Macaca mulatta: one gene and its partners. The protein of the gene in region 2 binds, or shares a complex with, the protein of the main gene of each other region. Links are inferred from orthologs where the notes say so. Each region holds a gene or a part of one and is shown on either strand. Other genes may lie near its edges. The genes, in order: GRM4, GNAI3, RGS10, TRPC5 and RGS8.

The links.
Region 1: the proteins of GNAI3 (region 2) and GRM4 are in contact, whole or in part, in a cryo-EM structure (PDB 8JD6), measured with the Homo sapiens proteins. The link is inferred for Macaca mulatta from reciprocal best matches to the Homo sapiens genes GNAI3 and GRM4. Residues at the interface, in NP_006487.1 of Homo sapiens: Ala31, Lys32, Val34, Lys192, Asp193, Leu194, Thr219, Phe336, Thr340, Ile343, Ile344, Asn347, Leu348, Cys351, Gly352, Leu353, Tyr354; in NP_000832.1 of Homo sapiens: Pro616, Lys619, Ala620, Gly622, Arg623, Glu624, Arg676, Ile677, Ile680, Phe681, Gln683, Gly684, Lys685, Arg686, Ser687, Val688, Ser689, Ala690, Ile694, Ser695, Pro696, Phe781.
Region 3: the proteins of GNAI3 (region 2) and RGS10 are in contact, whole or in part, in a crystal structure (PDB 2IHB), measured with the Homo sapiens proteins. The link is inferred for Macaca mulatta from reciprocal best matches to the Homo sapiens genes GNAI3 and RGS10. Residues at the interface, in NP_006487.1 of Homo sapiens: Val71, Val72, Ser75, Glu115, Val179, Lys180, Thr181, Thr182, Gly183, Ile184, Val185, Gln204, Ser206, Glu207, Lys209, Lys210, His213, Ala235, Glu236; in NP_001005339.1 of Homo sapiens: Glu62, Phe63, Ser64, Glu66, Asn67, Ala102, Ser103, Ser104, Gln105, Val106, Asn107, Val108, Glu109, Gly110, Leu137, Lys139, Tyr140, Asp141, Ser142, Arg145.
Region 4: the proteins of GNAI3 (region 2) and TRPC5 are in contact, whole or in part, in a cryo-EM structure (PDB 8GVX), measured with the Homo sapiens proteins. The link is inferred for Macaca mulatta from reciprocal best matches to the Homo sapiens genes GNAI3 and TRPC5. Residues at the interface, in NP_006487.1 of Homo sapiens: Arg205, Arg208, Lys209, Trp211, Ile212, His213, Phe215, Glu216, Glu245, Leu249, Ser252, Asn256, Lys257, Trp258, Arg312; in NP_036603.1 of Homo sapiens: Thr27, Glu32, Glu33, Glu56, Ile57, Tyr58, Tyr59, Asn60, Lys125, Pro128, Thr129, Leu130, Met131.
Region 5: the proteins of GNAI3 (region 2) and RGS8 are in contact, whole or in part, in a crystal structure (PDB 2ODE), measured with the Homo sapiens proteins. The link is inferred for Macaca mulatta from reciprocal best matches to the Homo sapiens genes GNAI3 and RGS8. Residues at the interface, in NP_006487.1 of Homo sapiens: Glu65, Gln68, Ser75, Val179, Lys180, Thr181, Thr182, Gly183, Ile184, Val185, Gln204, Ser206, Glu207, Lys209, Lys210, His213, Ala235, Glu236, Asp237, Glu238; in NP_001095920.1 of Homo sapiens: Thr76, Glu77, Phe78, Ser79, Glu81, Asn82, Ala117, Pro118, Glu120, Val121, Asn122, Ile123, Asp124, Phe125, Gln126, Arg128, Leu153, Lys156, Asp157, Ser158, Arg161, Arg164.

The regions. Positions count from the first base shown.
Region 1 is NC_133409.1:148,143,639-148,149,527, forward strand, and holds the start of GRM4 (metabotropic glutamate receptor 4), read left to right. Parts: upstream 1-2,498; 5' UTR 2,499-2,614; exon of another isoform or gene 2,615-3,590; intron 3,591-5,687; exon of another isoform or gene 5,688-5,889.
Region 2 is NC_133406.1:130,618,838-130,624,117, reverse strand, and holds part of GNAI3 (guanine nucleotide-binding protein G(i) subunit alpha-3), read left to right. Parts: intron 1-1,966; coding exon 1,967-2,095; intron 2,096-5,280. UniProt on the Homo sapiens protein: Heterotrimeric guanine nucleotide-binding proteins (G proteins) function as transducers downstream of G protein-coupled receptors (GPCRs) in numerous signaling cascades.
Region 3 is NC_133414.1:131,631,652-131,637,444, reverse strand, and holds the start of RGS10 (regulator of G-protein signaling 10), read left to right. Parts: upstream 1-2,374; 5' UTR 2,375-2,437; coding exon 2,438-2,444; intron 2,445-5,793. UniProt on the Homo sapiens protein: Regulates G protein-coupled receptor signaling cascades, including signaling downstream of the muscarinic acetylcholine receptor CHRM2.
Region 4 is NC_133426.1:118,497,797-118,503,076, reverse strand, and holds part of TRPC5 (short transient receptor potential channel 5), read left to right. Parts: intron 1-1,292; coding exon 1,293-1,382; intron 1,383-3,660; coding exon 3,661-4,353; 3' UTR 4,354-5,280. UniProt on the Homo sapiens protein: Forms a receptor-activated non-selective calcium permeant cation channel. Mediates calcium-dependent phosphatidylserine externalization and apoptosis in neurons via its association with PLSCR1.
Region 5 is NC_133406.1:40,135,136-40,141,178, reverse strand, and holds the start of RGS8 (regulator of G-protein signaling 8), read left to right. Parts: upstream 1-2,067; 5' UTR 2,068-2,214; coding exon 2,215-2,220; intron 2,221-3,307; coding exon 3,308-3,381; intron 3,382-5,293; exon of another isoform or gene 5,294-5,396; coding exon of another isoform or gene 5,397-5,422; intron 5,423-6,043. UniProt on the Homo sapiens protein: Regulates G protein-coupled receptor signaling cascades, including signaling via muscarinic acetylcholine receptor CHRM2 and dopamine receptor DRD2.

The DNA of each region.
Region 1 (5,889 bases), on a different chromosome or scaffold from region 2:
CACCCCAACTCTTCACAGTCAGAGCACGACTCATAGGGGAGGCAGGCTTGCTGGAGACAGTGTTTAGGAATCAGGCCTTGGAGCAGCTGGCTCAGGCCAGGTCCCTTGAAGTGTGACTCCTTGAGGTCATTTCTGATTGCTTTTCTCCCACAGCTGGGGTCCCCCAGCTCCCCCAGGGCAGGGGATGCCACCGGAAGTTCTTTGAGGTGTGTGTGTTTGTCTCTGTGTGTGTGTTAGTCTATGTGTCTCTGTGTGTGTGTCTCTGTGTGTGTGAGTCTGTGTTTGGGTCTCTGAGTCTGTCTCCATGGCAAGTCAAGTCAGCCACGACCCAGCAGAGAGAACAAGAGTGAGAAGAGGGTGCCCCAGCTGGACAAGTGGGGGCCCACAGGTGAGGGCCACTGACGGAGCTCCTGGCCACTGTGATGGTCTGGAGGCCTGGGGTGGTCAGGATGTTGCCCGGAAGAGCTAGGCCTCAGGCTGGGAACCTGCGAACTGGACGAGTCCACAAACTCAGCCATCTGCCAGCCAACAGTGTTTCTTTTTTTAACCCCTGAAAAATATAGCCTGCCCAGCCTTCTGCGACACAGCTGGTGGCGGGCGGGGGGTGGGGTAATTATGGCCAGAGTGAAAGCAACACTGAGGGGCAGGGGGTGGGGAGAGTGGCTGGGTTTGTTTTATCTCTCAATAAACCATGGCTCATGTTATTGTCACTGTAATTAGTCCATTCATTCATTCATTCATTCATTCATTCAACAAAAGTATATTGAGGATTCTGTTAAAAATTTCAGTGGCTCCCACTTACGGGTGCCTAAATACAGGACTAGGTGCTGCGCGTACATTATTTCATTCTGTTTTCATGAACACCTTGTAAGCAGGGCCCCAGGCACTAGTCCATATGGTACCTCTGAGAGGATCAGAAAAAGGAACCCCATCTTTTGGGCAGATACAGCCACAAGACAGGATGTGTCACTTGTCAAGACCAAGGCAGGCTGAATTTGAGCTGCCCTGAGGCCTCTCAACTGGGTGGCCTCTTGGCAGTGAACGATGCACACCCCATACCTGTAGTTCTGCTTTGAGATTAGTGTCATAATCCTTGTTCTACAGATAGGAAACTGAGGGCCTTGGGTAATGTGACCCACACACACACGTGACACAGATTTGAACCCAGGCAGGCTGTTCCCAAGGACACGGCCTCTCCAGGAATAACTTGAGTTCCCTGCAAGCCCAGAGCAGTGCACACTTGGCTGGGCAGAGCTGCTGGGCAGCAGGAACTTTCACGGCCTTTGCTTATATCTCTACAAAATGTGTGGTGCTGGGGTCCGAATGACCATGGGGTGCACTCCTCAAGGGCAGAATTGCGTTCAGTCACGTGTGTACACCTAGAGCTGGGAATGGAGCAGGACCTCAGTCAGTGTTGTTTTCATTAAAAAAAAAAAAAAAAGCATGAATGAATGGACAATCTGGGTGCTTCCCTCAGAGACTTCAGACTGATTGGGTAAATGAGACATGTATTTGGGCCATTACATGTGACATCAAAGAGAGTGCAAGCTTTGCCAACATTTATTCACCCACCAAACAATCCTTGAGCTTACGCTACCGTTCAGGCATGGTGCCAGGCTCCATGGCCAAACGATGCTGAACGAGACGTGGTTTTGGCCTAGCATAGTCTGGAGCTCTGGAGGAGGTGGAGCCTGAGCAGGTCTTCAGGAAGGGGCAGGAGCATTGAAAAGGGGCAAGGAGGGAGAAAGGGCAGTCCCGTTGCAGGCGGTGGGGGTCTGTCCCTGTTATTCACAGACCCTCCCAGACATTCCCCTCACCTAATTTCCCCTGTAGAAATTAGGTTTGAGCTGTAAGGGTGGCAGAGTCCTGCCAGGCCTGAGCATCGTCAAGCACAAGGTAGCACTTGGCAGATCAGCTGGGGGTTGAAGTACTGATGGGGAGGGAGGCCTCTGGCCAGCCTCTCCAGTTCTGCCGCCTTCTTCCCCCAGCTCCCTGGCACAGTGTTGTGCGCCCTCCCCAGGACAAGGACAGTCACACATCATGGCTCTAATTGAAGCCACTTCTGCAGTCTGGGGCGAGATGCTCTTGCAATCCTAAGAGGGCTGCAGTGGCTCCCTCACTTCCCCTGCTGCCTGCCTCTAACCAACTGAGTTTTCAAGCCCCCTCCAGGAAGGAGGCGAGTTGGCTCTGTGGTTGGTTAAGGGATTCTTCCCAAGTCTCACTGCAGCCTGCCAACCAGGAGGCCACCTGTTACACTTTTGCCAACCAGTGCTGGAGGGAGACCAGCGGGTGGGGTGTTTCCCTAGCCTGGTGGGGTTCTTAGGTGGTAAGGGGGCTCTGTGGAAAGTGTCCCTCGGACAGGCTGTGAGATCTGGGGCAAATGGAATCACCTCACTGGGCCTTAGTTTCTCCCCTTGTTATACACTTGCACCAGGAGCAGTGGGGTGTGCAAATGAACATGCCACATGGGGGCATACGACACGTGCGCGCGGATGTGTGAGGTTCCAGTGACGCACCAGGGTGGGAGTAGCGCGCCCCTCTGCGTCCCTGTGCTTTGCTGTACTTTTCTGGGTGTGTGTTGGGGAGGCTATGTTCCTGACCCTCCCCCTCTGGGGTGAGAAAGGGTCCCCGCCATGTCCTCGGGGTAGGCGAGCTAGCAGGCGCACTGGGAGGAGGAAGAGGGGGGCTTCCGGAAGAGGGCGCCGGTGGGGTGTGGTGGAAGGGGAGCTGCCAGCAGGTCGGGTGTGGAGGGGTGGCGGAGCGCCGCGAGAGCCCTGGCCTTCCGGAGGTGGAGGTGTGGGGTAGGGGATGGGCTCCAGGTGCTCTCTCTTTAAAAGGCCGGCGGAAGCGCCGTGAGCCTGGCCGGCACTTTCAGCGCAAACTTGCGGGGCTGGGCTCGCGCCTCCTTGGGTGCACCAGCTGCTGTGGGCGCCGGGGCCAGCGGCTGCGGCTCCCTCGCCCCCTTGCGCTTCCCGGCGCTCCCGCCCTCTCCCGCAGCCTCCCCTCTCAGCGCCTTCCTCGCTCTCTCGTCTCTCGCTCTCTCTCTCGCTCGCTCTCCAGCGCGCTCTCTAGCTCGCTCTCATTTTTTTTCCTGCTGCTGTTGCCGCTGCCGCGGCGCCGCGAGGCGCCCGCACCTCGGCCGGCTGCGCTCGCTGGTCGCTCCCGCTCCGCTCCCTTCCCAGCCCGGAGCTCTCGGCCAGACTCACTCCCCTTGCCGCCTCTCCCTCTCCTTCCGGCTCGGACGCCGGGCTCCGCCGCAGCAGGAGCAGGGGTTGCCGCCGATCCCCCTCGCGCTTGCTTACTTGCCGGAGCAGCAGCCGAACGCCGCGCGCTTGGCGGCGGCTCCGGCCGGGCGGCCGTCAGCTCATCCCTGCTGCGTCCCGGACTCCGGGCGGCTCCGCGGCGCGCTCGGTCCGCAGCGTCAGCGCCGCCCGCCGCGGCCCGGGCTCTGGGCACCGCGAGAACCGTGCCTCCGGCTGTCGCCTGCCTGCGCCCCCGGGGCAGGCGGCACGCAGCCGACCCCTCGCCGCGGCTTAAACCTTGCTGGCGCGCGGTGAGTTGTGGCCCGAGGGGGACGGACAGAGGGGACCGTGCCCTCCGGCCTCCTGGGGCGAGGGCTGCGGCGGGGACATCGGGGCTAAGGGAGGTGGCCTCCGGCGAGCTCCCGCGCTCGGAGTGCCCCGAAGAGAGCCGGCGCCCCTGGAGCCCTAGGGGCCGGAGGGCTCGGGACCTGAACTAGAGGGTCTCCCCTTGGGGCTAAGGCAGGCTTTCCGGATGCCCCTGAGGGAGGGAATGGGGCAGAGGCTTTTTTTGCGGGCCCGGTGGAAAGTACTGTCTCTGCATACAGGGGCTTCCACAGGATAGAGGGTCGTGCCAGCTTTCAGGTGGGGGCGGCGGCATTAGCGCATCCCAGTCTGCGGAGAGGCAGGACAGGCGGGGGCGCGGGGCATTATTTGCACCTCTTCCCGGCAGTCTCCCGGTGAGAGGGCACCCAGCCTCGCGCGCCTGGGCTCCTTTCTCAGGCACCGCGTCCGGCTCCCGTGCCCGCCCCAGCGCCGCCTTCGCCACCGACCGGAGCCCGGCAACCGCTTGCCCGTGGCCTCGGCGGGTTGTGGGGCTCTCCAGGGTCTGGGGTCTCCCCGCAGCCCCAGGACTTCAGGGCCAGGCTCTTTCCGGACACTCGGGACCGTCCCTCCCCGGGACCCTGATGAACCCGCGCGTCTACGCGGCCGCCGGGCGAGCGGACCGGCCGTGGTCTCTGTGTGTGCATGTGTGTATGCGCGTGTGTGCTGGGGGTCCCCGCTGCGGGGTCGGTCTTTCCCGGCGCTCGCAGGTGGGAGCCGTCTCCTCCCCGCGCGGGGGTGGGGCCGGGAGGTGGAGGCCCCGACTGCGAGAGGCGCCCCCGCACCAGGGCGGTCTGAGGCTGTTGTGCTGAGATGGGGCAGCAGCATCGGCGGCGGCAGGGAGTCCTGAGGCCCGAACGTACGAGCGCCCCCTGCCCCTAGGCCCCGAGTGACATCCCGCCCTCAGACTTTCATTCCCTTTTGGAGGAGGCGCCTTGCTTCTTTCTCCCCTCCCGGCCCCTGGCGCGGGAGAACACGGCCTTTCCGGACACCAACTGAGCTGCGCTTGCCTAGCTGGGTGCCCGAGGCCACGTGTCTGTCAGAGCGGTGGCTGCCCCTGTGTAAATCTGGCAGAAAGCCCGAGGTGACAAGCAGGGAGGGGAGTGTGTTTCCATCATAGTCCCTCACCTTGTCCGTTATGGGGTGAGTGGGGGCCTAGGGCAGGCGGGGAGGGCAGTGCTCCCAGGGTCTCCATAGGGAGCACCCCATCCCACACCCTACCATTCTGCAGCGCTCAGCCTCCCGCCCCGGGGCCAGCCAATGGTGGACGTGAAGAATGCCCTCATTCCCATCTCCCCACACTCCCGGGATGTGTCCTGGGCTCGCCCCACTTTCCCCTGGATCCCAATGGGATGCTGGGCCTCAGACTGTGGGTCTGCATGCTCAGCTCCTCGGAGTCCAGAAGGGCCTCAGGGCCTTCCGACCTAAGGTAGGGGGAAGCTTCCATGAAGAGGGGAGGACTAGAGAGGCGTCTAGGCACTCCGCAGAGGCGTCTGGGCACTCCGGGGTGTGATCACCCACAGCGCAGGGGCCTCATCACTTCTTCTTGGTAGGCCCTGAGGACTGTTGAACCAGTCCTCGAAATGGGCCTGGCTGCGGTTGGAGCCTTGTCCCCTCTCCCACTTCCTGGAAGGCCTCACCAGCCCTTAGTCAGATCCTGTCTTTGTGGTGGGGTGGGCAGGAGACTTTGAGGATGGTGCCTCCAAGCCTCTGCTCAGCCCTGGGCCGGACGTGATGTCTGCTTGTGAATTGGGTGGCCACTGTCTCATGTTCCTCCAACTTCCGTCCTTTTACACATAAGCTTTTGCCTACCTGCCAATACCTTCACAGCTGTCAGGGACAAAAATACCCTAAAAGTTATCCCCTCGCACCCCACACCTTAGCCACTTCAGGGACTACCCTTTCCAGGGGCATCTGCATTTAAGAGAGATGGGAGAGGAAGATGGCAGTGCTTAACCCAAAGGAGGGCTCTACTCTACTCATGGATTCTCAGGCATTTTCAGGAGCCAGATATATTGCGGGGGGGGGGGGAGGGGGGGCGCGGCATGTAGCTCCTCACTAAGCACAGGTCCTGAGCAGGCCGAGGGGAGGTGGGAGCATGTCAGGAGTTGAGCTGCTTTCTGGGCCTCAGTGGCCTTGCGTAGGCCGCTCCTCCTACCCCCCCTCCTCCCTCCTCCCCCGACCTGCGTCTGGGCGGCTTCATTCCGTTGGAGGCGTGACGTCTCTGGGAGGGAGCGCCTTGCACAGCGGCAGGCAGCCCGAGGTA
Region 2 (5,280 bases):
TCAGGCTGTGCATAAGGACAGGGATACATTCTGAAACATGCATCATTAGGTGATTTGTCATTGTGTGAACATCATAGACTATGCATACACAGAATTAGATGGTATAGCCTACTACACACCTAAGCTTTGTGGTATATCCTGTTGCCCCTAGACTGTGAACCTGTACAGCATGTTATTGTACTAAATACTGTAGGCAATTGTAACGTAATGGTAAGTATTTGTATATCTCAACATCTCTAAACATATAAAAGGGTAATACGGCCCATGATGTCACTAGGGACTAGGAGTGTTTCAGCTCCATTATAATCTTACAGGATCACTAGCATACATTTATGGAGTCTGTTGTTGACCAAAACATTGTTATGCAGCGCATGACTGTATTTGAAAACTTTCTTATTCTTTCAGTGAGAACTTGACTTTAGAAACGTTTCAGGATTCTTGCCTACCTTTTAATAACATATTTTAGTTGCAGGTATTGAGAGCTTAAATAATTCTACCAGTGGTCAACAAAAGTAGATTATAATTGCTTTTTTTCATCATTCATTCAGAAAGCTCTGAATCCTCTAACTACATGTGCTTACATTATAGAGATTTTCCTAACAGTTGATCTAAGTTTGCCTCTTTACATTAGTGATAGTATTTGGTTTTATAGATCATTAATGATTCACTTATATTGGTGCCATCTGCTCATCAGTTTTCTAGCCTGAAATCAGCAAAGAATATAGTTTTGAAGCAGTCTTTTAATTATTTCCCTGAACAAATTAATTTTTTTTGGAGGTATTTACAATTTGTTTTTGGTTTAGATTTAAAAAACCCCCAAACCTCCCCAACTCTTCTGTTTATTGAAAGAAAACGGAAAATATTCTTACTCACTATAGTTCTCTTAATTTTAGTAAATCAAACACCATTCTCTAATGTCCTGTCAAATAGTTAAACACACATGACCTATTAAGTTTAATTGTCTGAGGACTTTTGGTATAGTTTGGTTTTGGTATTATACAGTACACAGTTAATTTAGTATTACATTTCAGGAATTTTTCTTTACTAAAAACATTTCCTGTTCCTATTGTTTTAATTTTTTAAATTGGCCTTCACAGTTTAATTCTGTAGAATTAAACCTACTTTTGTGTCTGGGCACGGTGGCTCACGCCTGTAATCCCAGCACTTTGGGAGACCAAGGCAGGCGAATCACCTGAGGTCAGGAGTTTGAGACCAGCCTGGCCAACATGGTGAAAACCCATCTCTACTAAAAATACAAAAAATTAGCTGGGCGTAGTGGTGAGCATCTGTAATCCCAGCTGTTCAGGAGGCTGAAGCAGGAGAATCACTTGAACCTGGAAGATGGAGGTTACAGTGAGCCGAGATCACACCACTGCATTGCAGCCCGGGTGACAGAGTGAGACTCTGTCTCAAAAAAAAAACAACAAAAAGAAAAGAAAACAAAAAACCTACTTTTGTTAATGTATATAGACTCTATACTTTAATTGTCCTATGTTGGATTCGTATTTTTTCTTATTATTTATTTCTTTTTTTAAGAGACGAGGATCTCACTCTGTCACTCAGGCTGGAGTACAGTGGCACCCTGCAGCCTTGACCTCTTGGGTTCAAGTGATCCTCCTGCTTCACTCAAGGGTAGGAGGATTAGCTAGGACTATAGGCGTGCACCACCATGCTTAGTTAATTTTTAAAATATTTTGTAAAGACAGGGGTCTCTTTATGTTGCCCAGGCTGGTCTTGAACTCCTGGCCTCAAGTGATCTTCCTGCCTTGGCCTCCCAAAGTGTTGGGATTACAGTCATGAGCCACCATGCCTGGCTTCTTATCTTTTCTATGATACTGAAGATCTGATTCTGTTTTGCCACTCTAGTAACTAGTAACAGGTTTAGAATAGGAACTAATTTAGTCTGTTGATTTGCTATGCACATGGTTGGCTTCACCAAGTAAAAGTAAGTGTGTCTTTTATTTAGTTATCTAAATGATCTGGATAGAATATCCCAGTCTAACTACATTCCAACTCAGCAAGATGTTCTTCGGACGAGAGTGAAGACCACAGGCATTGTAGAAACGCATTTCACCTTCAAAGACCTATACTTCAAGTAAGTCATTAGCCTTTTTGCTAGGTGTGCCAAATACAAGTATCTTTTGTTTTAGTTTACCATCTCTTAATCAGGGCAAAATTCCTCTGGGCAGTATTCCTTGGTTTAGAAACTTAACCTATTTATCAGCATTGTTTGAATATTTTAACTGAATGGGGGCCCAAACATCTCTTGTTTCTCCAAATAGCATCAAATGTTTGTGTCCATTTAGAGGAATTTAAATTCAAAAATAAATTGTAACTTGCCTCCCAGTAAAATTTTTCCTGTGATAACTGGTTTGTTTTAATTTTATTCTTTTCAGCTGCTTGTTAGACTCACCAAAACAGATATCGAATGTTTAATAGGGTAACAATATTGAACTTATGAAAACCAGTTTTTTTGGTTAGTTACATGGTTTTGTTTTGCCATTTTGATATTAAAATAGGAATGTTTTTCTCCCCAGTGTCACTTCTTTTTGGTTTGAATTTCCCTTCCAGTTGAATGGAATGGAGCAAGTATTATCATGGCTCTTGAAGTAATTTGTGCGTAGTGTCATGTACAATTAAGTTCTTAGTACAGTGCAGAAATATGGGGATAGAGGTGTTTTGGGTTGGTAAGATGACATTTAAACAGTGATTTTTTTTGGTTTGTTTTTAAAATTTTATTTTTTAGAGACAGGGTCTTACTCTGTCATCTTATCTGGAGTGGAGTGGTGTGATCATGGCTCACTGCAGCCTTGACCTCCTGGGCTCAAGTGATCCTTCTGCCTCAGCCTTCCAAGTTGCTGGGACTGTAGGCTCATGCCACTGTGCCTGGCTAATGTTTACCAAAAAAAAATATGTAGAGACAGAATCTCTCTTTATTGCTCAGGCTGGTCTCAAACTCCTGGGCTCAGGTGATTCTCCCACCTTAGCCTCTCAAAGTGCTGGGATTGCAGGTGTGAGCCACCATGCCCAGTCCAACTGTGATAGTTTGAGAGAGAGAAAATTCTAGTATTCTAATACAAATAACTTTCTCATTAGCATTAGTAATTCTTTTTTTTTTTTTTTTTTTTTGAGACGGAGTCTTGCTCTGTCGCCAGGCTGGAGTGCAGTGGTGTGATCTTGGCTCATTGCAACATCTGCCTCCCGGGTTCAAGTAATTCTCTTGCCTTAGCCTCCTGAGTAGCTGGGAGTACAGGCGCATGCCACCACGCCCGGCTAATTTTTTTTTTTTTTTTGTACTTTTAGTAGAGATGGGCTTTTACCGTGTTAGCCAGGATGGTCTCTATCTCCTGACCTCGCGATCCGCCCGCCTTGGCTTCCCAAAATGCTGGGAGCCACCATGCCTGGCAGCATTAGTAATTCTAAAACAAGCCTCAGCTTGTCTCTGTGTTAATGGTCTTTTATAAATATTAGAAATGTTTTTTTGGTTCCTATTTTCTTCTTTTGTGACCTTTGAGATTAGGAGTAAACTTTTCTCCTTCAATATACCATGTGTTCTTTAGTTATGTTATTATGCTTATATGTAGAATGTGATGTTCGGCATTATTGCATACAGATGTAACTACTACCTCAGAGCCTGTCAGGTTTTTGGTCTGAAACCAGCTCTTACACAGGATTTGAAATCCACATAGGGTTTACTTATTACTAGATACCAGTCAGGGTCTTGAAATCCTAATACACTAAACTAGAGTTTTTCCTGGTGCAGGAAAATAGCAGTTCAGCTCTGAATGCTTTTAGAATAGACTTGCTGCTTGTCGTTAGTACTGATGAATTTATTTAGCAAGAGCAGCAAAGACCACGTGGATTATCACTCATAAGATGATAAGAATGAGATTTCTTTGTATAAGGTTTGTAATCTACTTATAATTAAAAGTTGTGATCATTATTTAGTGTTGGAAACTTTCTTATTGGTGTTGTTATATAGATCAATCTTTAGTTAGGCAAATCCTAACTGTCCTGTCTTTTTATGCCATAATCAATAGCCAGATCTAATTAAGGTGCCACACCTACTTGATTGTTGGCATGTAGTTATCTTGTTATGAAGTACTATCATTTCTTCCTTTTCCTCTTCTCTCTAGGCAAAACTACTATCCATTTATTCAAACATTTATTGAGCATCTACCATATGCAAGGCATTGTGTAATTGCTTACTTGCCTCTCAGTTAATGAGGTAATGTTTATGAAATGTTGATCTCTTAGTGAATGATATTGTAAATGTTAATATGTGCTAAAAGCCCACCTTGGAACTTCACAGTGTTGTATAGACTTTGTAGAGAAAATGGGGGAGTAAATTGAAGTTATTGGTGTGTCTCCCCTTGAGACTTCCATGGTGAAATATATGATGTTAGCCTTCCTAAAACCTGTATTATGACCCTATATTAAAGCCAACTTGTGATTACATCATTTCAGGTGTCATGACCAAAGATCAAAAAGAATTGTGCAAGATCAACCCAAAGGAAGAGTTGGGTCATAAAGAGATAATTCCTTTCAAGCATACATTGAGAAATCACCAACTGTGTCTTATTTCTTTCAATTTCTGGGCAAAAACATCTCTGGAAATGTAGGCCTCTAGTCACTATTGATCTTATACATTAAACCAGTTCAGCAGAGTTTAGCCTTTAAAAATTTTATCATTTTCTTCAAACACAGATCACAGAGTAACAATTTGCATGTATACGTCATTAGACCTAAGTATCAGCTAAAACACAAAGCAGTGCAGGTCTTCTTTTTACTGTAGGAGGTAGTTGAGGATGCTGTTGATGGAAGTTCAGCAGTTGACTCAGAATACCAAGTAAGTCGCCCAGAAGAGAGTATTGGACTAAAACTGATCTGGAGTGGAACATAAAGTTTGTGAACAGTTGAGACTTTGTTTTTATTAATTAGGTTTAAGTAAGACTTGGAGTTTGGAAATGTTGGTCAAGGCTGTTTTTCGGTTATTGGGTTCATAGAATCCTACCATAAAAATATAATTTATTTGTTTTTACAATTAATCTCCAAATTTTTTTTTAAGATAAGGAAAACAAACTTAGTAGGAAGAAGTTATGGAAGCAGAGTGCACATTGGGCATTTATAGGCAAACCATTTTGAGAGTCAGAACATGGGTGCTGGAGTTAGAGTGCCTAGGTTCAGATCCCCAGTCCCTGTTTGTTAGTAGTGTACCTTTGAGCAAATCATTTAACATTGAATGTGCCTCAATTTCTTTATCTGTATAATTGGGGTAAT
Region 3 (5,793 bases), on a different chromosome or scaffold from region 2:
GGACGCTGGGCTCTGGGAACCTGCTGCTTAAACTGCACTAAATTTATGCCCCCAAGTTTCTTCTGCTTCCCCCAGATAGCTCTTTGCTGCAGCAGCCCGGGGGTGGCAGCAGGAGCGGAGGCGGCCCTGGCAGGCAGAAGCAGTGGCCCCTTGATAAGAGCTGTCAGGCGGCATCCGCTGGAGTGAGACAGTCCCTTGCAGACTTGTGGGGACAAAATTTCCCTTCCAAGCAAGTTCCCATCTGTTTAGAGCCCAGCTAAGCACCCTCAGGTCCACCTCGCTGCCCCACTGCCCAGTGGGGGGCCACTTATCTGACCGAGTCCTTCCCAGCCCCATTTTTCTTGCTCCCTAGTCTACCCCTGGAGGGACTGGACAATACCTGCTCTGTGCCTTTGCTCCCCCAGGTGTCCTTTGTCCTGTCCCAAAGCCTGGGTCTCCCTGCTCCAGCAGACCCACCCTTCTAGGCCTCGCTGCCTCCCACCCTTGGCACTTGACAGAGCAGCTTGTCTGAGCAGGAGGGAACCATTTCATTTCTCCCTGGAGGGCTGCGGAGGCCACTAAGGGGCAGGGACTTGTCCGGAGCCACCCATTGCAGAAGGGGCAGAGAACTCAAGTCTTGGACCCAAGTCCACGGCCACCTAAACACAACAACCATTTAGCGACTTTGCTAAAATATATTTAGAGAATGAATGTGGAGCTGACAACTTTCCTCCCTTCCTCCATCCCTCTCTCCTTTCCTTCCCTGCCTCTGTCCTTTCCTCCCTCCCTCCCTTCTTTCCTCCCATCCTTCTTCTCTCTAGTCAGGACATTAGAAACAAACAAAGCAATCATCAAACACCTTTATCATTTCACATAGAAAAGGACATTTTAACACCTCCAATCGTAGGAAAGATATAATCTCAGGTAAAGAGCTGTCCTGATCCTCTAGAATCTAGAGGATTCTAGATCCTCTAGAATCTTCTAGAGGTTGTCGCTCCTGGGGAGAGACACTGGGCACCTGAGGGACAGAGGTGTGAGGAAGACTATTACACCACACTCCCTTTTGTATGTCCTGAACTGTGATCTTTTTCAAAGCAAAAACAAAACAAGCAACCCAAGACTGTCCTTACTCTACCAGCACAGCTCACTTGGTAAATATTTCCTTGTCTTCCTTCTCGTTTATGCCTGGACTAGTGAAGAAGACTTCCGACCAGCCTGTGGCACTGTGGGCAGGCGACCACCTGGGAACGTCTGGCCTCCTCTCCTCAATTCATTTTAAGTTCCATGAGAAAATGGGCCCGCCTTTCATTTCTGGCATCTTTCTCTGTGTTTTTCTCTCCCGCCAGACAACCTGGGGTTGAATCCCAGCTCATCCACTTCCTTGCTTGCTTCTTTGTAGCAAATTTTTTATCTCTCTGTGTCTCAGTTTCCTGATGTATAAAATGGGGCCCATGAGGAAACCAACTTCCAAGGATTGTTGTAAAGTTTCGATGAGACTTGTAAGTGCTCAGTAAATGTCAACTTTTTTTTTTTTTTTTTTTTTTTTTTTTTGAGACGGAGTTTCACTCTCCTTGCCCAGGCTGGAGTGCAATGGCATGATCTCAGCTCACTGTAACTTCTACCTCCTGGGTTCAAGCCATTCTCCTGCCTGAGCCTCCTGAATAACTGGGATTACAGGCATGCACCACCACGCCGGCTAATTTTGTATTTTTAGGTTTCTCCACACTGGTCAGGCTGGTCTCAAACTCCTGACCTCAGGTGATCTGCCCCCCTCGGCCTCCCAAAGTGCTGAGTTTACAGGCGTGAACCACCACGCCCGGCCTCAACTATTTTTAATAGCTATCCATCCTCCTTTCTGTGCCCTCTACCCTTAGCCTGGTGCCTGACTTTGCTCATTCCTTAGCAAATATTTATCACTATAAAATATATACTTGAGTACCAGACATCATGCTGACCCTGCGGAAGACGCAGCCCTTGCTTTCAAGAAATGCACCATCCACCTGACTGACCTTGGAGGAAAAAGTCATTTACTTTGCCTCCAGGGAGGGCAGGACAGATTGAGCAGAGTAGGAGAGTGAGGGCAGCTTTACGCAGAAATGTGAGGCCCCAGAGGACACACAGGGGCTTCTGGAAGTGGAGAAAATCGATGACAGGGTCTTGTTTTCAGGCTAGGGCTGCTGGGCCGTTTTCTTTTTTCTGGCCTTTGCCTAGAAAGTGGAGAGTCTAGGGAGGCTACAAATAACAGTTCGGCGTTCTTATTTCCTTCCCTCTGGTAGAAACTGGAAACCAGTGGCCATCTGTTGTTTAGTCCACTTAAAAGAGGATGTTGAGGCTTGTTTTTTCTTCGGACCCAAGGGTGCTGGGGAGCCCTCCAGTCTCTGCCTTTCTCACACAAGGCGTCTCTGGGAAGGCAGTGGATTGTTGGTCTTCGTGGAACTTCTCAGGTGGACCCCAGAGCATGGAACGTAAGGAATGGCCCCCACCCCTTTCCATGTCGGCAGTCGCCTTGGCCCTGGGTGGGGCAGGGGCTGGGAAGAATGTGCTGTGAGGACACAGAGGTGCACAGGTGACTTTGGAAGGGCCAAAAGGAACACTTGGCTTTCTGTGAGGCCTGTGCCCTCGTGTGCAAACGCCACGATGCCCTTTCTGAGTGGAGCCAACCCTCCGTCACCTGCTTTCCTTCTCCTGACTTGGATGCTGGCTATTACTATGATTATTGAAAAACTTTTTTCACTTTTGATGTTATTTCCTGCTAACTGCGGTTCAATCAAATCTCCCCAGCAGGGGAATTGCATGCAGGTGGGGTAGTTATTCTCAGCAGCTAGATACTGGAGCCGATAAACACTTAAGTAATATTTAGATACGATGTTTCCATGACCCAGTTTCTCAGGAGCCTTACACAGATCACCAGTTGTAACAAAATGACTCTCTGATTCCAAATTGGGAGGACGTTGTAAAAAATGTAATATACTTGATGTGGCATAGGTGACAAGAGGTTTTAAATAAGTTTTGTGGGGTGTGTACTTTCTTTGAAACTTCATTACAAAATAGAGTATTTTAAAGGTGCACGCCTGTGCATGTGAGTTGTACCAAACCACTTTGGAATTTAGGGTTAATATCTCTGCCTTTCCTGGACTTGAATGTTTAATAGCCTGTGAGTTTGAGGGAGTACTTAGGACAAACCTTCTGAGGATGTAAGTTGACTCTGCTGTTGAGGAAACTGGATAGTGAGATATTACTAAAATATTATTTGACTTGGAGAAATTGTCTATGCAGGATAATTACACAGACCTTCCTGCAGATTAACAGCAGAAATCCATGCTGTGAGCATTCATCTCTGATGAGTGTTACAGATGCCTTTTGAGTATGGATTTCTAAGGAATTAATGTCTGGAGAAGGTCTCTGTTAGATATGACATCATAGCATCTATAAATAATGCATCATAAAATAAGCTCCAAGCAACCAGCCCCAGCCATCTGCACTGTGATGCTTCACCCATCCTTGAAATAATGGCTTTTACTGACGCCAGAAGCCACATAGGGCAGCATAAGCATAAATGGAAAACGGATATACATTGTGTTTGTGTGCTAGATGATTCCACCTGGTCTTATGTGACTTTTTTTTTCCTGCATGGATTGGACTCTTACCCAGTTTTCTGTTTTTTCCCCAAAGTGTGATTGTTCTTGGTCTCTTAAAGGCTGTTGTGTTCTGGTCTCTTTGAGTACAAAGATCAGCAGATATAAAAACTAAAAATGGCAGTAGAGCCTTTGGTAAAGAGCATGTACTCTGGAGCAGGAGTACCTGGGTTTGGGCCATGATTTCCCATTTTCTAGCTGGGACCCTTGTGAGTTACTGTGCCTCAGTTTCTTCATCTGCAAAGTGGAAATAACCACATCAGTAGGTTATTGTGAGAACTGAATTATTTAATTCAGGTAAAAGCCTGGAACAGTACCCAGCACGTTGTACATCATTTGCAAGTTTTTCTTTTTTCTTTTTATTTTTTTGAGACAGAGTCTTGCTCTGTCACCAGGCTGGAGTGCAGTGGCACGATCTCGGCTCACTGCAACCTCCGCCTCCCGTGTTCATGCAATCCTCCTGCTTCAGCCTCCCGAATAGCTGGAATTACAGGCGTGCACCACCACACCTGGCTAATTTTTTGTATTTTTAGTATAGATGGGGTTTCATCATGTTGGCCAGGATGGTCTCGATCTCTTGACCTCGTGATCCGCCCGGCCTCTCAAAGTGCTGGGATTATAGGCATAAGCCACTGTGCCAACCTTTTTTTTTTTTTTTTTGAGACAGTCTCGCTCTGTCATCTAGGCTGGAGTGTAGTAGCATAATCTCGGCTCACTGCAACCTCTGCCTCCTGGTTTCAAGCGATTCTTCTGCCTTAGCCTCCCAAGTAGCTGGGACTATAGGCCACCACCACCACACCCGGCTAATTTTATATTTTTGGTAGAGACGGGGTTTCACCGTGTTGGCCAGGCTGGTCTTGAACTCCTGACCTCATGATCCGCCTGCCTCAGCCTCCCAAAGTGCTGGGATTACAGGCATGAGCTGCAGCGCCTAGCCTTTTTTTTTTTTTTTTTAAAGATAGATTCTTTTTCTGTTGCCCAGGTTGGAGTGCAGTGGTGTAATCTCAGCTCACTGCAACCTCTGCCTTCCAGGTTCAGGTGATTCTCTTGTCTTAGCCTCCCGTGTAGCTGGGGATTACAGGAGTGCACCACCACACCTGGCTAATTTTTGTATTTTTTGTAGAGACATGATTTTGCCATATTGCCCAGGCTGGTCTTGAATGCCTGGCCTCAAGTGATCCACCCACCTCAGCCTCCCAAAGTGCTGGGATTACAGGTGTGAGCCACCATGCCTGGCCCATTTGAAGTATTAACCATTATTATTAGCTAATGACAGATTAGTCTGAAAATAAATTTGCTGAAAAATATGCATTTTGCATGCAAAAAATTTGAAGATCTAAAATGATTTAAAGAGCCTAGAAGCTAAGAAAACAAAACACCAAAAACTTTTATTCAAAAGTTTTATTCAAAACTTTTATTGCAAAAATGTTTTACAGCTGAAGTAAACAATGACAACAAAAATCAAACAGCATGATAAAATTGAAACAAACAAATATCACAGGCAGGTCTTCCCTAGCTGGAGAGATCGTAAAACTGCTGGAGAACATGCTTGACATTTTTTCCACCTATTCATATCAGTCCTGCTTTCTTGTGTAATCTGTCTGAATCGGAAGCTTTTATCAATGAAAAGGGATAGAAGAATATTGGAACTTTGTGGATCCAGGTACCAGTAGTTGGGCACCTGGGAAATCTTGGTTTTGCTTTATTCTTAAGTTCAGAAGTAAACCTGTTTTGCTATTGAGAAAGAGTATTTATTTCTTCTAATATTACTAGACTGGTTGTAACATTTATGTATGTATGTATGTATGCATGTATGTATGTATTTACTTACTTTAACCTGCTTCCCCTTCCCCCTTGGTTGTAACATTTTTTTCTTTTTTTCTTTTTTTTTTTCCCTGAGACGGAGTCTCTCTGTCACCCAGGCTGGAGTTCAGTGGTGCAATCTCAGCTCACTGCAACCTCCGCCTCCCGGGTTCAAGCAATTCTCCTGCCTCAGCCTCCTGAGTAGCCAGGATTACCACTGCGTGCCACCACGCCCAACTATTTTTTGTGTTCCATGTTGGCCAGGCAGGTCTTGAACTCCTGACCTTGTGATCTGTCAGCCTCAGCCTCCCAAAGTGCTGGGATTATAGGCATGAGCCACTGCGCTGGGCCTCTTTTCTTTTTTTATGATTTTGTT
Region 4 (5,280 bases), on a different chromosome or scaffold from region 2:
GATAAATTACAACATGACTTTAATCAAAGAAATAGAGAAGCACTTCTGTATTTTGTTAAAAAAAAAAAAAGTAATAAACCTAATAAACATTAGGGCACTCTTCCCACCAGCTAGAAAACAGCCAAGCATACAAATATTACCAACATCTCTTGAGAATAATCCTTGCAAATCACAAATAAGAGACAACCATCTCTCACCATCCTGATCAAAAGAAAACCAAAGTAGAAAAATGTTCTACAGCGTTTGAAGGAAATGCATCCTTATTCTATAGGTCACTTCTCCTAACTTTGTTCCCCTTAGACCATAACTAACAAAGAGAAGCAGAAAGTACGGTATTTTGTATGTAAACCTCCTCTCCCTACTCCCGCCTTCAAATGTTATTCCTTTTATAATAACAAACCTTAAATAAGATTCATTGTCTTCATGTTCTGCTTCATAGCCCTCAACGATAACAAAAAAAAAAAAATGATTCCTGCACATCTCAGTGAGTTCCTCAAGTACACATAGTAGAAGCAGCAATACCATTGGCCTTAAAATCAGACTGAAGTAGAATGAAAGTCTAATCTTGACACTTACTAGTTGTGTAACATTGGATGAGTCAGCCTATTGAGGCTTGACTTCCTCATCTGTAACATGGGGATAGTAATAAAACTTAACTTACAGAGTTGTGAAAATTGAGTGATGAGTATGTATAATATGTATTATGTGCATGTGTTGCCTGACACATTGCAATAAGCGGTAGCTATCATCATCACCATCACTAATACAAACTGTACTGACCACGTGCAGACTACTCCCCTGGGAGCTAAGTGAAAAGAGGACATTCCTGTATAGGAGAAGTGTAGGTTGACTATGAGAAAAATATCTTCACTATGTAATTAGTGGACATTAAAATCAGCAGACTTAGTGACTCTGAAGAAAATTCTCTCAATTTTATAAAAGGAGAATAAAACTCTCATTTTACTAGGAGTGTTAACGTGCAATCCATCCTAAAGGAAAATAATATTAACTATATGACCATGCAAGAATTATTCCACTGGAAATACATGTTTACCTTATGCTCGGGTAAAAAATTTTCCTTTAGGGTGAATTTGATTCTGACACTAAATTCAGAGACACAATAGTTGTTTAGCCAATGGACTTAACTCATTTTTTATAGTAAAAGGCTGGATCCTATGAGGATTTTCCACTGGAAAGGAGGTCTAAGCATGTTTTATTTCCTATGTAAGTTTCTTATTGTACTGAGAGCCTGAGAAGGAGATTGAATGCCTCTTCATGTTTTGTAATTCCAGGAAGTTATCAGGAATTTAGTCAAAAGATATGTGGCTGCTATGATAAGAAATTCCAAAACAAATGAGGGGCTAACAGAAGAAAATTTTAAGGTAATTTAATCATGAAGTGGTTTCTCATTTTACATATCATAAGCATCATTTAATCTTCACAGTGTGTGAGGTTTCTGGTGATGGAATTTCATCTGCTTACGATATAGCAAACCCAGTTATAATGCTTATTCTCTTAGAATTGTCTCTCATCCAGTAGACCGAGAGATTTTACCAATGTATGTCACACCACAATCAGTGTCCTGAAAGAAGGAAATCTGCTGTATGCGTTCTTTTAATATTCTGAGTGTTTCTCAGTGTGGAAATTGAATGCTTTAAATGATGTGGCAAGGATGCATGGTGGTGAGGGACAAGATAGCAAAGGGAAGATGCCTGGAGACTTAAAGATCTTCTTTACTTAAAAGATATAAAATCAAAAAATCTGTTATTGAAAACCAAACACTGCATGTTCTCACTGATAGGTGGGAACTGAACAATGAGATCACTTGAACTTGGGAAGGGGAACATCACACACCGGGGCCTATTATGGGAAGGAGGGAGGGGGGAGGGATTGCATTGGGAGTTATACCTGATGTAAATGATGAGTTGATGGGTGCTGACGAGTTGATGGGTGCAGCACACCAACATGGCACAAGTGTACATATGTAACAAACCTGCACGTTGTGCACATGTACCCTAGAACTTAAAGTATAATTTTAAAAAATAATAATAAATCTGTTATTAAATATAAGGTCTTAAGAAACTCTACCATTAAACATTAAAATTCTACTAGTGGCATTAGCCTAAAACAACCGTTTTCAACCAGGGGTAATTTTGTCCCCAAAACCACATTTGGCAATGTCTGGAGATACTTTTGGTTGTCACACTGGTATCCAGACAGTAAAGACAAGGTTGCTACTGAGCATCCTACAATAAATAGTACAGCCTCCCACAACAAGAAGTATCCAGCCCAACATGTCAATAGTGCCAAGACTGAGAAATCCTATCCTAGAACACATCTATATATATTTTTCTTTTTTAAAATTTTTATTATACTTTAAGTTCTGGGATACATGTGCAGAACGTGCAAGTTTGTTACATAGGTATACACGTGCCATGGTGGTTTGCTGCACCCATCAAACCATCATCTACATTAGGTATTTCTCCTAATGCTATTCCTCCCCTAACCCCCACCCCCCGACAGGCCCCTGTGTGTGATGTTCCCCTCCCTGTGTCCATGAACGTCTATATTTTCTAAGGCACACAGGAAGGCCATTATTCTAATTCATAGACATAATTCATCTACCGAGGGTCTGCTATGTTCCAAGCACTCTTCTACGTGCTCTGGTACAGTGGTGAGCAAGATCTAACCAGCTCCTACTCTCAAGGAGTGACAAACAATAATAAAGGGTGATGAACAATTGTATATTCTGACAGGTTAAACACAGGCCACTGTGGAAACACAGAGAGGAGGGACTCTCAACTGGGACTTGGGGAGTCAAGACAGACTTTCCAATGGAAGTGATGCTTAAGCTGAGGCTTGAAAGCAAAGCCAGCCAGATAAAGGGGAGCTGGGGAGAAGAGTGTTCTAGACAGAGAGAACAGCACAGGCAAAGGCCCAGAGGCAAGGGAGAATATGTCCATACAGGTGGACAGCAGAGAGCCTAGGAAAAGAGTAGAAAGATGAGACTGGAAAAAGCACAGGTACTAGGCCTTGAAAAACTTTGTAGTCCATGGTATGGCATTTCTATTTTTTCCTAAAGTTAGTGACAAGTTAGTAACAAGTTTTGAGCAGGGGAAGTACATGAATAAATTTCAGCTTGGCTTTTAAAGAACAGTCTAGTATGTAAGCATTCAGTTGGAGATAGAAGACATTTCATAAAGGTTTGAACAGGGCCCCCTGTCTCAAAACAGCAGTCTCATCACCTGACATTCCACTTCTCTAGTTTCACTCGTTAGAGTCTTAAAAGCTTTTTCCTCTTCAGTAGTCCTTTTATATGCAGACACCTGTGAGAGCCAGTGTCCTAATCTAATACCTTGTTAGTTAATACTTGAGCAGGAGTTAGTCCTTATGAAAGCGCCTCAACAGACTAATCCCTACTAAAGTGTTAGCTAATCCTGAATCAACTTTACCCATTGTACAATTTTGCCAGTGGCCAGCCCTGCCCACGGAATTATTAATATGTTTTTCTTGTGTTTGAATAATGGCAGATTTTTCTGGTGTTTTATTTTGTGATTTACTACTAGGCAAAAACCTGGAACATTCCAAAGGTATCTAATGTGCCTACTTTGAAATAAAGACCAAGTTTCTTGACATAATATGTCTCCTCTCTTTTCCTAGGAATTAAAGCAAGACATCTCCAGCTTTCGGTATGAAGTGCTTGACCTCTTGGGAAATAGAAAACACCCAAGGAGAAGCTTTTCCACTAGCAGCACTGAACTCTCTCAGAGAGATGATACTAATGATGGCAGTGGTGGGGCTCGAGCCAAATCCAAGAGTGTCTCTTTTAATTTAGGCTGCAAGAAAAAGGCTTGCCATGGGCCACCTCTCATCAGAACCATGCCAAGGTCCAGTGGTGCCCAAGGAAAGTCAAAAGCTGAGTCATCAAGCAAACGCTCCTTCATGGGTCCTTCTCTCAAGAAACTGGGTCTCCTGTTCTCCAAATTTAATGGTCATATGTCTGAACCCAGTTCAGAGCCAATGTACACAATTTCTGATGGAATTGTTCAGCAGCACTGTATGTGGCAGGACATCAGATATTCTCAGATGGAGAAAGGGAAAGCAGAGGCCTGTTCTCAAAGTGAAATTAACCTCAGTGAGGTAGAATTAGGTGAAGTCCAGGGCGCTGCTCAGAGCAGTGAATGCCCTCTAGCCTGTTCCAGCTCTCTTCACTGTGCATCCAGCATCTGCTCCTCAAATTCTAAACTTTTAGACTCCTCAGAGGATGTATTTGAAACTTGGGGAGAGGCTTGTGACTTGCTCATGCACAAATGGGGTGATGGACAGGAAGAACAAGTTACAACTCGCCTCTAAGTCAAGCCCTAATCATCTGTTTTGGAACTCAACAGAAATTTGTAATTTCCTTGCTCTCAGAGGTGACACAGAATATGATTCCCTCACTGCCCCTGCCCCCAAGAAAGGAGAGTGAAACTCCTATTATTTGCATCATCTTTTATAGCCACATTCTCCATTTTTGTTCTTGTTTTATTATTACTTTCATTATTATTTGCCTTTTTAATACCTGTACACACTAAGTCCATCTTACAACCAACTGAAGGGGTGTTGCACCTAATCAGCAGAGGTGCAGTTGGGTGCTTAACCCTTTTGCTTTGCTTTTCTCACCCATGCTTCCTTGAAGCCCCAGGTGCCACTTTGCTACTCTTGCTGCTACACAGATTCCTGACCATCCTCAGGATCTCATGCCATCTTCCCACAGAGCTGAGGGATGTGGTCAGCAGTCCCCACCAGCTATCAGATAAGGCAAACTACCCTGCCCATCTTTGTTGCCATTCAGTGCTACACGCTGCCCATGCTGGGTCAATGAACAGCATCAAAGGGAGGCTGAAGAGATTCCAAAGAATTGTCAGCTTGTGGTTTCTAGGTATAAGTGGCTTGTTTCGTTCTTAAATACTACAACTTCTTATTGTGAGGGCTGTTGAATTTTCTTGTTTCTTAAAGATGTGTTAGTTTCCTAATGTGTGCCAATGAAATATTTACCCCATAGTATATGTCATATCTAATAAGTTAGGTGAATTATTTTTCTGTGTTTGTGTTTCAGTCAACTTACTACATTTTAAAATTTGATAGTATCAAAATTAGTATTTAGAATTTGTGCTGTTTTTTAAAAACGTCTACTACACTCTAACCAATAGTCACCACATCTCATACATTGGCAAGATAAATAGTTGTCATATTTGTTGGGTCCTACTCTACTGTTGATAGTTTTAATTATCATAGCTA
Region 5 (6,043 bases), about 90 Mb from region 2:
TGGAAAAGCAGCCTAGAGCTGAAGAGGCAAGATTGAAGCACTGATTCTGGAGAGGAGTGGTGGGTGCCTGGAGAGGGCAGGGCTTCCCAAGGCAAGTGAGTATAGACTGGGAAGTGCAGAGGGGGGCAGGACAGCCCAGAGGCAGGAGCGGGGCTTGCAATCACTGTGTTCCTGTAAGAGACGTGAGTTGTGGCCAGTTGAGATGTCCTGTGCCAACTCCACCTAGCAAGTCAGGAGCAGTAGCCGGAAAAGAACCCAGAGCTCTACATTCCTGGGGCAGAGCTCTAAGCCTGGGGACTACAGAGTCCAAGGTGATGAATTCCTTTCTCACGAGCACTTAACCCTGCTTGCCTTTTCTGTTTATTTATTTCAGGAAAGAAGACAATGCTAGAATGCTTAACTTTAGGTTCAGCTTAATTCTCCTTGAAATTATGCACTGGCCTCTTTGGAAGATTATGCTGGTGTCCTCTTGGGAGAGGGGCCTGCGCTAGGTCTGTGCTTCTCAAACTGTGGTCCTCTGTGATTACTCCTTGGCATTTAGGAGTGTTTTGGTTAGAAAAAAAAAGAAAGTTTGGACTAGTTTTAATGTTCTGTTTCCTTGTATTATTCATGTCCACACACTTTTTTTCCTTCTGCTCTTTATATTCCTGTTACTTCTTTTACATTTTTCTTGTTTACTATAGCTCTTTTTAAACATTGGACTTATTGACTTCCTATGACTATATTATTTCTCCAAAGGCTAATTGAAGATTCTGATGCCTGGTTAATATTGATTAGTTTCCACTTGTGACTCAGGCCCATTTGCAGCCCTGCTCTCTTTCCTCGGGGCCTTTACCCCCTGGATAGTGGCCTGGGCAGTAAGAGATTTGGAGGAGACCTTTGTTCTACTGTTTTAGTGCTGGTAGGAAGTGTCCTATGATGGCACTACGTTTGTGTTAAAGTGAGGAGCAGAGCAGAGGCTGGAAGCATCAGGTTTGGTGCTAGATACTAGCTCTGCCACTTTTAAATGACATGTCTCTGTTTCTCCATCTGTAAAAGAGGGGTGATAAAGGTGTTGGCTTTGTAAATTTGTTCTGAAAATTAAATCGATAACTCAAAGCAATGTTTGGCATAGTGTCTGGCACATACTAACTGCTCATTAAACATTAGCTATGTGGATTCACCTTATTCTAGAAACATATCTTGAATTAGGGGAGTGCTTATCAATGGGCTTTTATTCATCAGTTTATCTGTGTACCAGTTTCTTATGGTGCAGTGTACCAAGAAAATGTCCAGAAATGAAGGGTTCTCTTTCTGCTGAAGTTCTAAACCCCAATTAGCAACAGGGTTCAAGAAAGGGGTAATAAGAAATGAGAAACTTTTCTTTTGCCTCTCATTTTATAACACAAAGTTCCCTTTCTTTAATAGAGGGGCACTGTGGACGATATCAGAAAGAGACAATGAGTCACTGTGGAGGCAGCATCAGAATGTTTATTTCATCTTATCATCAGGCAGTGAGTAGTTGCGGCAGAATCATTTCACTGAGAGAATTCAGGTTATGCACCAATAGATCTGCCCAGAAAGACTGGGTCCTGGTATGATATAGTAGAAAGAGCTCTGCTGTTAGAGTCATAAAGCTTAATTTCTGGTTCTTGTGCCTCCTCTGGCACGTTGCGTCACTTTGATAAAGGTACATCACCTTTTCTGGCCTCGGTTTTTTCATCTGTAACATGGGAATAATAATACTACCCTCTGTGACGATGGCATAGGATTGTTGAGTGACAATACATGAAAATGCTTTATACATTTAAAAAGGATGAAAAAATGGAATTCATTTCCATTATTATAAAGCCATCACTTTCTGTTGAGATTTCTGCTGCCTTCTGGGTTTCAGAAATGGTTTGCAGCTAAGGCTATGTGTCTTTAGAGCTAGTTCCTGAAAGGGAGTATAGACTCAGCCTTAGGGACCTAGAGCATAATGAGAAGACAAGCTTTCTCCCAGGGCAGCGGTTTGCAAACTTTAGCATGCATCAGAGTCACCTGGAAGGCTGATTACTGTCCCCAGAGTTTCTGATTCTGTAGGTCTAGGGGTGGGGCCTGAACATTTGCATTTCTGATACTTCTCAGGTGATGCTGACGCTGCTGGTCCAGGGACCATGCTTGGAGACCCACTACACTAGGGCAAGCAGGAAGAGAGTCCTCCTTCTGGAACTGAAGAAGGCAGTGTGAAGACCCATGTGGGTAAGGAGGTTTGGAAGAAAAAAAAAATGGAAAAGACAGAAAAATAGGGATCATGTGCAGATCGGGCAGAACAAAGGAAAAAGTCTCACTCCATAACAAATGCAAGTAGGGGGAAGTTGCTAGGTGATGGATGAGGGAGAGAGGTGAGTTTCTACTGTAGGAAAAACCAGGTGAGAGGCAGGAGCATAGAGTTGGAAATATGCATGTTTGGGAAGGCAGAGGAGGTGGAAATTTCTCATTAAGAAGTGGGGAGTGGTGTGGTTGGTGCTGGTTAGGGTGGGAGTGGAGATGAGCTGGGGGAGAAATGCCTCTGTAGAGTAAGGGGCACAGCTGAGATGTGGCAGAGAGGGCGATTTCAGGGCTGTGTGGTTTGGCTTGGTAGTGCAGCACAATAGAAATTTGGAGAAAGGGGGTGGAATTTAGATGTGTGACCTGCCCTGTAGCTTTCTTGCTCTCTGCATTTATCACATCACATCACACCCAGCAAGACAGCCCCCCTCCTCCTGACTCATTAGGAGATTTGATTTGGAGTGGCTCCTGCTGTCAGCAGCTGTCTGGGGCAAGATCTTTACGCTCTCCACTGCCAGTGCAGCAGCCAACCTTCAGCCAGCAGCAGGGCTCATTAGAAGAGGGCCCCCTGGACACTTGATTTTCAGCTCACTGGTGACTGGAAAGAGTTAATACCTATTCTTTGCTGCCCCCCGCACAGCCTCTGGGTGCAGAGGGAGGCAGCTGTGGGCTGTGGGGACTTCTCCCTGAGCTGCAACCAGAGGAGCTTCAGGTTAGTGAGGCTGAGCTCGGCTCAGGGGCACCTTCTGCATCCTGCCAATGAGGATGGGCGTGCAGACCGTGCCCGGGAGCTGAGCCACCGCCCGCTGGGTGTAGGCTGCTTCAGTATTTACTGGATGTGACAAGCAGAGAGAAGAGCTTTCAGCGGGGCCGCTTGCTGCCTGGCTCAAGTGGTGGGAGGTGTGTTGTGCATGCCTGTGTGTGTATATGTGTGTGTGCGCGCCTATGTGTTCATGCACACATGCCCTTCACTCGCCGAGGATTTGACTGCTAAAAGAAAGATCTACTTTTTCCCCAGAGCGCCTTAACCCGCAGCCTCTCTGACCACCCAGTTGGCAAAGACCCTCAGGCCATGAGGACTGGCCAAAGACAGTGAGTATTGCCTTTGCTTTTCTCTTTCTTCTCCGGGATGTCTGTGTGCACCGATTGCATTATCCATATTTAATTAACTTGCCTCTTCATGCATATTGATTGCTTTCTTCCCGCAGAGGCTCTAGTTTCTCTCCCCCTCTTTATAAATCTTTGCTCTTTGCTTTTAACCTTTGTTTTTTCTTGAGTATCCCCTCTTCCCATTATGTCTCGTCCTGTCTGCCCCAGACGCACCTGTGACTTGATGCCCATCTATGAGGGCACATGCACTGTGCGGGCAATCACACCATTGAACTTCCTGGGCTTTGGGTAACTTCTAACTCTCAGAAGTCCAGGGCCAAATGGGATAAAAGCCCTGAGGTGCTGGGATGGGCAAGGCAGCTGGGTCAGAGTGTCCTGCTGATTCTTATTTACTGGCATCTGTGGCTGAGCGCATCAAATGGGTAGTGGAGGGTCTGAGCAGCAATTCGGGCTGTGCTGGATTTGAAGGATTTGAAGGAGAGAGACAGGCATCTGAACAGCATGGGCAAGCTAGTGTGGGCTGGCAGTGGGATGGGAAGAGAGACAAGGTGGGGACAGAAGGCTGGGTGAACCCCTGCCCCAAATGACCTTGCCTGCAATGTAGGTGGGTAGTCGTCTCTGGTTCCACTTGGCTCTAGGATAATAAAGGTCCCTGCATGGATTTCCCCTTCCCCTGAGGCCATATCCCACAGCAAGAGGCCTAGGTGCCCCAAACATGACTTCTAGGGACCGTCACAGCTGCAAAAGCTTTGACTTCATGACTCCTGGGGTCTAGGTGTAAGCCTGGTTAGGAGAAAGATTAAGGAAATGTCCCTGCAGCCGGGGAACACAGTCCATGACGATGGGCCCTCATACACAGTCTAACTAATTATTTTTTCTAGTTTTCAAAAAGCAATCTTTTAATTTTATTAATTGTAGTATTATTAAAGAAGCTATTTTTAAAAAGTGCTTGTGAAATAGTCACGGTAATATAAAAATAATTTAAATGGTGTAGCTGACATAGGAGTCTTATCTATCTAAATTAGGTTTCTTTTAAAATGGGTTCTATGTTTGGTGTCAGAGTTCCCCAGGGGAGCCCTTTATGGATAGGCTGCTCTCCTCACGTGTTTCTTCCTATCAGAGGTCTTCTGCAGGAACAAAGGGTTTGAAGCACTGAGAATGGGACCCTCAGGAGAGGAAGACTGTGAGTCAATCAGCTTTCAACGTCAATGACCCCTGTCTCCCCACACTCATGTCCTTCCTACTTTGTGTCAAGAATAGGCCAGTCCCCAGACTGAGGAAGGTCATGTAGGCTCCATATGGGCGAGAAAGGGTGACTTGCATATTCATTTCTTCAGCCTGCACCTGTGATCCCTGCAGAGGAGCAAGCCTGTGTGGCGACGGTGCCTGACAAGCCTCTTTTGGAGTTCCTCCAACCTCCCTCCCACTCCCACTTTCCCGAGTCTCCACGCACTCCCACCTGGGACAGGTGCCCTTGGAGGGAGGCGAGAATCAGAGCAGCATCCAATCAGATTATTTTGGAGCAAGTACTGACCCCCTCCTCCAACCCCGCTGGCTGGTCACTTGGGCCCCACTTTAGTAAGAGAAAGAGAACAGTAATTTTTGGTTTGCGAGGCCCACGCCTCCCCTGAGGCACACGTCCCACTTTATTTTTGATGGCCAGTGGTTGGGGAATCAGGAACTCCTAACCAATAATCAACAACATGAAGCCACCAACAATTTGTTCTTGTCCATCCTTGGTTTGTCGCCCCCACTAAGGACAAGTGGACATTTGTGGGGCCTGGGGGGATGTGTGTGGGGAGGTGTTCTGCTGGCGGAAACCTGTCTGAGAGGAAATGTAGCGCAGTCAGATGAGAGAGGGTGGCCCCTCTTACAGCAGATTCTTTGATTTTAGGTGAGAGGACGTGCAAGGGTAAATTCCTGAGCCCCGCAGTCTTATTTGCTGCCCTGACGTCCCTGCAAACCAGCCCAAGGGTTAACCGTAAGCGGATGCCTGTATGGCGGCCTTACTGATGCCACGCAGGTAATGAATCAATGGCCTGTTTTCTTGCCCCTGACCCTTTCCTCTTTTCTCCACCTTGTCACCCCCTCTGCTATTTGAGCCTGGCCCAAGCCTCCTTAGCCCATGCGTGGTCTAATTGCATCTGTCCCCATAGGCCTCCTGTGTGAACTGCACGGTTCTTGTCTATATGCCTCTTGCAATGTTGTGGCCTTGCAAGCAGGAACTGCCTTAGCTGAAGCCCTCCCATTGACTGGTGAGACAGCTTGGCAGTGACTTATGGGGTGGGATGAGGGACTGTGCATGAGCTTGTATGGAACCATTTAGGGATCTCTGTGAGTTCCTTGGATAGGGGCTGTAGAAAAGAGACAGACAAGGGAAAGCCTCGTTATTTTTTAAAAAGTATCCTTAACCTTTGACTTCTACTTCTCACCTTATTATTTCAGACCTAGCTAAGAAGATTATAATTGAGGTCTGAGCTGGAAAGATGAAAAATAAAACCATTTTGTCCCAAAGAATATTTTGTTGAAGATTTTTGCAAACTATTTGGGAGAATCACAGTTGTCTTGGTAACAAGTAGCATCCTTTACACTGGCCCCTGCTAAACCTTGTTAAATGGCTTGCGTGGATTTGCCATTTTTCAAA